2 linked regions of the Nothobranchius furzeri genome follow. The protein of the gene in region 2 binds, or shares a complex with, the protein of the main gene of each other region. Links are inferred from orthologs where the notes say so. Each region holds a gene or a part of one and is shown on either strand. Other genes may lie near its edges.

Region 1 (3,346 bases), on a different chromosome or scaffold from region 2:
CAACGAGACTTCAGTGGTTTTTAAACGTTTTTCTGAATTCAGAGGAACATTTGAGAAGCTTGAAGCCTTTGATCCTGCTCTTGTGATGACTTAAAGTCCTCAGGCTAGTTCTGAAGCAACAAGCAGCACAAGACTGGATAAATAAGTCCGATTGCTGCTGCAGTTTCAGGTCTTGTCCATCATGACCTCCTGAGTGGAGCACGACACCGCTGCCAGGTGGAGGACGATGGATGCTCCTGTACGGCGGCGAGTTCCTCCTCCAGATTCCCGCCGCAGCGACTTGGGTCCACCCCACAACCCTCCGCAGTTCTCACTTGCTGCTCGGCTAAAGATCTGAGGTTCACTTCCTGTAAAACTGGAATCTTTACACACGTAAGCAGACAGAGAGAAGTTTGTTTTAGCTCCATGATTCTTTTCTGCTGCAGCTTTAGGATCAGCAGAGCAAACACAACTCCTTTTAATCTGTATAACAAGCCAACGTGTTGATGCAGATGTAGGAACTCCGGTTTTCCCAGGATTAAACCCCGGTTCCGGTCTAGACCAGTTTGAGGCACTGCGTGTTGAAGCTGTCGCCCTCCCGGCAGGCCACGGCCTCCAACAACGCCTGTTTCTTCTGCGTGCTCCGGGACGACTCCAGCTCGTACATGGTGGTCAGGTTGAAGAGCACGCTCTCGTGGAGGTAGAGGGCGGGGTCCTGCTGCACCAGGCCCTCCAGCTGACCCAGGGACTCCTTCAGCCGGCCCAGGTATAGGAGGCAGACCGCTGCGTTGTTGTTGGTCTGCAGACAGAGACGTGTGAAATCGTTGCTTTTTAACTAAAGCGAACCTGCTGCATTCACTCACGACGGGGTGTCGGGGGTCGATCTTCAGCACTTCTAAAAAGGAGGCGTGTGCTTCGGCGTAGCTGTTCTGACTGAGGTAGACGAAGGCCCTGAGGAGTGAAACACACAGATCATCGTTGGGGAGGAAGACGGTGTTTTTATAACTCACTGAAGGTGTTTTTGTTGGTGCACCAAGGGGCCAGTGGACACACTTAAACCAAACGGTTGCAGCTCAGTCACTTTTACAGGCATTAAGCTCAAATCTGTGATAAATCCACCATTTCACGAGAGAGAGAGAGAGAGAGAGAGAGAGAGAGAGAGAGAGAGAGAGAGAGAGAGAGAGAGAGAGAGAGAGAGAGAGAGAGAGAGAGAGAGAGAGAGAGAGAGAGAGAGAGAGAGAGAGAGAGAGAGAGAGAGAGAGAGAGAGAGAGAGAGAGAGAGAGAGAGAGAGAGAGAGAGAGAGAGAGAGAGAGAGAGAGAGAGAGATTCTTGTCTCATTAATGAATTGTTTATTTTTTTTCAGTATTTAATTGACGAATTATCCTTTCAAATAATTAATTGATGAGTTACATAATTGTCCATTTAGAATTGTTGAATGGACTGAGTCAAGTTTGGTGCACTTTATATATTTCAAAACATGTTTTTTTTATTTTAATGATGCATATAAATAATTTAAATGTTAATTTAATGAAATATTTCTATTTTTTCATTACCTCACCCTTGTTTTGACAAAAACGGGACCTTGCTGGATAATATCATGGAGAAACTATTTGTTCACAGTACTTGGCTCAGTGAGGATCTGTGTACCAAAGGAGGAGATACTCAGAAATCTGTCTGCAGATTGTTACAACCCAGACTGGAAGTGGTGGGCTGTAATAAGAAAGGAGACCAAACAGAGGAGTGGGGGTTCAACAACTGATTTATTTAACCAAAGTAAGGATTTACTAAAGCAGATCAGTGCAGTCAAGAATTACTGGTGTTTGGGTAGTCCTGAACGTGTTGTGATGCCCCCACCGTCTCATTGGGTTTTCATTTGTGTTTAATTGTGTTTTTCTTCTGTTGTAGGCAGCTGGTTAAGCAGCCTTGGAGGCACCTGGGCTCAGGGTGTGGTGCTGCCTACAAAGCCTACTGTTTTTCTGCTTTCACTGGGTCTCTCCTGTGTGGTGGAGAGTCCTCACTGGCCATTTTCTGTTCACTAACTTGCTTTAGTAAATCCTTACTTTGGTTAAATAAATCAGTTGTTGAACCCCCACTCCTCTGTTTGGTCTCCTTTCTTATTACAGCCCACCACTTCCAGTCTGGGTTGTAACAATCTGCAGACAGATTTCTGAGTATCTCCTCCTTTGGTACACAGATCCTCACTGAGCCATGTACTGTGAACAAATAGTTTCTCCATGATATTATCCAGCAAGGTCCCGTTTTTGTCAAAACAAGGGTGAGGTAATGAAAAAATAGAAATATTTCATTAAATTAACATTTAAATTATTTATATGCATCATTAAAATAAAAAAAAACATGTTTTGAAATATATAAAGTGCACCAAACTTGACTCAGTCCATTCAACAATTCTAAATGGACAATTATGTAACTCATCAATTAATTATTTGAAAGGATAATTCGTCAATTAAATACTGAAAAAAATAAACAATTCATTAATGAGACAAGAACACCTCTCTCTCTCTCTCTCTCTCTCTCTCCACAAAAAATGTAATTTTATATGGTTAAAACCATCTAGCTGATGTGCACTTTTTAAAACACTGCCCAGCAAACATTCGGACGTTTAATGACAGTTGAACGGTCACAACTGTAAAATACCTGAAATTAAGAAAAATTAACATGACATCTACGACATTTTCCTTGCCCGGACTCGAACCTGGATCCTCCGGGGCGAGAGTCACCCGCTCTCCCAGCTGAGCTATGCCAGCAACTACTGAATCTCAGACTTTTTTATATAGATAGAGGGTAAAGTGTGGGGTGAACTAACCAATCAGAGGACAGAGAAGATCTGCCACAGGCCACGCCTCCAGAGTGCCAAAAGCCCTTACAGCCGAGCGAGCAGGAGTCAGAAACCGAGCGCGCAGAGAGGCTGCCGCGCGCGCACGTTTTCCTCTGCCGTGTGCTCGTTGACAACGCGCGCACGCAGGTTTGTCACTTGTGCACATCCTTGTGCGCTCACAGACACAGTTTGCTCCCTCTCAGTGCACAAATGACCTCTCGCCATGTATATTTCCGCTCGCGAGTCCCGTTCACACGCGCGCTGTGGACCCAATGCGCGTGCACGGGTTGTGGCACGCTTTAAACGCCATAGAACGCCTTGGGGTCCTGCCGGAGGAGCTGGTGGAGGCGGCCGGGGGGAGGACGGCCTGGAGCTCCCTAGTTGGGATGCTGCCCCCGCAACCCGGACCCGGATAAGCGGAGGAAGACGACGACGACGATGTTTTCCAAAAGGAGTTGTTTCAGAGGTTCTGATGTAAGCATCACATGATCTTCCTCTAGGGCAGGGGTCAGAGCTCACCTAAAGGAGTT
Region 2 (3,653 bases):
ACTGCAGTTCAAAGGTAACTCATGAGGTGAATATATATGAACCCAGGTAGCAGTTTTTCTTTAGGATTGAGAGGAGATGCAGGAAGATAATAAACAGACAGGACAGAAAAATAGTCAAATAAAAACAAGTTAGTTTTTGTACCTGCTGGTTGCAACAAACAGACACCATTGAAGGTAATCAGAAGTGAGGAAGAGAAAATGAAATAATTATTTTAATGTTTAGAGCAGCAGGAACTCCGAGAGGCTGCAGGCGCATCAGTGAGTTTGCGGCCGCAGCGCAGGGGGAGGGGGGAGATGGCTGAAGCAGAAACTACCGTTGTTAAAAAAAATGTTTTTAACTTTGAAAATGTGGGCGCAATTTTAATTGTCAAAAACTCCAGTGAACCATTAGTTCATTTTGCTCAAATAGAAATAGAGGCCTGCCTCTAATTCTGGTCCTCCTTCCAATAAAGGTCTGGAGCTTGAGTCAAATACAGGCCCGGGCCTGTATTAGAGGATTTACGGTAATTAATAATTAGATGATTATTCAACAGCAGCAGCCTTCTGGTTTAGAGTTCAGAGAGGACTAACAGCTTGTTCTAATGTAGCTGAAGCTGCCACTTCAGTTCAGCGTCTGTTAGTCTAGATGTCTCCATGTTCAGCTCCCAGCCCGGGTCACATGACTCGCACAGCAGCATGGACGTGAAGGAGACGAAGGACGGAATGAGAAAAGTGATGAATCTGTGCGCTACCTTCTGCGAGGCGTCGCTCGTGTCCAAAGAAGACCCTGGTAGTAGAGCTCTGGATGTAGGGCAGCGGCAGCTCAGGGAGGCATCCTTTCTTTTCTCCATTCACACTCTTAAAAAAAAAAACATGTTATTTAATTTCTTCCTATAAAATATAATGACAATATTCTAATTTCACTAAATCTACAGCTGGGACCAGCCCCATTCAGCATCCAGAGGTCAGGATTGGACCTGAGCAGATGTGAGACTGACGGTACTGATCCATATACACAGAGTAAACTGCCTGACTGACATTGTTGCTGATTTTTCCAGTTGGTCTGAGCTAAAGGGAATGATAGATCAGTTACGCTACTAGGCAATGATGTTAGTTGAACAACAGCAAACAGGATGTCAGATTAGGGATTATTAACTCTCCGATTATGTAATGTGCCGAAGCTTAGCTCACCAAACTAGGAGCAGTATTTAGGACTTACTTTGTACACGTAGAGGTACTCTCTGAGGAAGGCAGCCTGCTGTGTGGCCGTCTGTCGGCTGTCATTGATCAAGATTTGTCTGAAAGCCATCACAGCATCCTCTGATTGACCATGTGTGAAAGAGTGGCGGCCAATGGTGAAGTTGATATGATCTTCTGCCAAGGACCAGCCCCTGTCCTGGTACACCTGCATGGCTTGGCAGTAACAGCGCAGAGCGTGTCTCGTCTTTGGAGATAAACAGAAAGAGACAAGGTGAGACACGTCTGTGAACCAACAACAGAATCAATAAGGCAGAAGTAGTAGAGAACGTAGAACAGGTGCGAGGCTTACCTGTCTCGCTTTGCTGAAACGATGACCAGCCAGGATCATGTGGAAGGCAAACTTGCGCACCATTGGGTTACGCATGTTAATGAAACAGTGGGCTGCCTGCTCCAACAGCAGAGCGCTGCGTAGGTCAGAGTCCTGCAGGGGGAAAAACACACACCCACGCACGCACGCACGCACGCACGCGCACACACACACACACACACACACACGCGCGCACACACACTTGATTTCTCTGATTTTAATCACTGCTAAAACAGCTAAACGTCCACAACCAACATGCACTTTACTACAGCTGTAATCCCCAACAGAAACAATGTTTTCTCACCTCACTGGTCATCTTAATGAGAAGCGCTGCAGCCTCTGAGTATTTTCCCTGACTCTTCAGTATCTCAGAGCTCAATAGAGCACACCGCTCCGCCAGCACCATGTTCCTATTGGGGACACGAAACACTGATTTCACAGGTCAGTATGCAGCCCAGTGTGGGAGTTTGGACCAACAGAACAAACATTTTTTTAAAATCTTTAACAAGCTCTTCTGTGGTGTTACCTGTGACTCAGATGGCTTCTTCTATCGTAATATGGCTAAACTCACTTCTACTGCGTCATGTCCTGAGCTGGAGGTACTTGTTCATGCTTTTGGTTCAGTGTTTCCACTACTGCAATACGATTTTCTAGCCTAGTGAACTAGACCAAATGCTTGCTTTGCACAGTTTGGTCTAGAAACGCTCCACTGGAACCTCTGCAGCCCCTAGCAGCATTCTGGCTGGCCAATCACAGCTCTCTAGAGGGGTTTCAAACACAGAGAGCTGTGATTGGTCTATAATGGTGGGCCAATCATAGCACTCTATCTACTTTATGAACCAATCACTGCGCTTTATCTGCTTTGTGGGCCAGTCAGGACCCTCTATTCGTCTGGAGGGCGGGATGATGCAACAGAGTGGAACAAGATGGCGACAGCTCGTTTGGAATAGCTTTTACATCAATTTTGGATTATTTGGACTCTGGCTTTATTAGAATCAGGAGTAGATAGATGTATTTAAGTCCATTTAGAAAAAAATATGTATTTTCACCGAGAGCCATCAATGGAGCGATCAGAACCTGCTTTGTTGCAGAGCTTGCACGCTTTACTGAAGTAGCTGTTTGATGTAGAGAAATTCACTTCCTCTCATCCTGTTCTGCCCTGGCAGGTAAAGAATAAGATGAAAGGAGCACTGATCGAACCTGTTAGATGTGTATCTAAAGTATCTAAGCCCATTGGCTGAATCAGAATGGTTTGTTACCAGTACAACAACCCTAACACACTTTGTAAGTAGAAACTGTGCAACAGTAAACAGCAGGCAGACTGGTGTGTGTGTGTGTGTGTGTGTGTGTGTGTGTGTGTGTGTGTGTGTGTGTGTGTGTGTGTGTGTGTGTGTGTGACTTGCTCGTACCTGCAGACATCTCTGTAGGTTTGTATTGCTGTGTCCATGTAATGCGACGGGTACGGTCTGGGGGCTCCACTCTGCAGAAAGGCCGACACTGCAGCCATCTCCTACAGGACACATGACATGACAGATGTCAGAACAGAAACGCACAGAGGAAGAAGTCTCATCTAGTTTTACACACAAGAGGAAAAAAGAAGATTTTTCAATTCAGTTTATTTATACAGCGCCAAATCACAACAAGAGTCATCTCAAGGCACTTCACACTGTAAATATTCCAATACAGTTCAGTTCATTAAGACAAAATCAGTAAAACGTTTCCTATATAAGGAACCCAGCAGATTGCATCGAGTCAGTGACAGGCGTCAGTGTCTTTACAGCAATAAAGCATTTTTTTATTTAAAAAGACAGTTTTTGCTTTTAAATCTCTCATTTTTTTCCCATTTTCAGTTGCTTATCCAGGGCCGGGTCATGGGGCAGTAGCCTAAGCAGGGACGCCCAGACCAGACCCTCTCCCCAGCCACTTAAGCCAGCTCCTCCGGGCAATCCTAAGGCGTTCCCTGGCCAGCTGAGAGGCATAGTCTAGCAGGTCAGCTCATTTCAGCCGCTTGTATCCACGATCTCGTTCTTTCTGTCACTAGCCGAAGCTCGTGACCATAGATGAGGGTAGGAACGTAGATAGACCGGTAAATCATGAGATTTGCCTT

The links. Proteins that work in one complex are often made in the same cells at the same time.
Region 1: trappc8 (region 2) and trappc12 share a complex: the UniProt entries of both Homo sapiens proteins name them as parts of the multisubunit TRAPP (transport protein particle) complex. The link is inferred for Nothobranchius furzeri from reciprocal best matches to the Homo sapiens genes TRAPPC8 and TRAPPC12.

What each region holds. Positions count from the first base shown.
Region 1 is NC_091758.1:44,447,302-44,450,647, reverse strand, and holds the end of trappc12 (trafficking protein particle complex subunit 12), read right to left. Parts: intron 2,073-3,346; exon of another isoform or gene 1,886-2,072; intron 1,754-1,885; exon of another isoform or gene 1,247-1,753; intron 931-1,246; coding exon 843-930; intron 779-842; coding exon 536-778; downstream 1-535. UniProt on the Homo sapiens protein: Component of the TRAPP complex, which is involved in endoplasmic reticulum to Golgi apparatus trafficking at a very early stage.
Region 2 is NC_091756.1:54,983,956-54,987,608, reverse strand, and holds part of trappc8 (trafficking protein particle complex subunit 8), read right to left. Parts: intron 3,057-3,653; coding exon 2,956-3,056; intron 1,957-2,955; coding exon 1,851-1,956; intron 1,661-1,850; coding exon 1,529-1,660; intron 1,424-1,528; coding exon 1,199-1,423; intron 838-1,198; coding exon 732-837; intron 1-731. UniProt on the Homo sapiens protein: Plays a role in endoplasmic reticulum to Golgi apparatus trafficking at a very early stage. Maintains together with TBC1D14 the cycling pool of ATG9 required for initiation of autophagy. Involved in collagen secretion.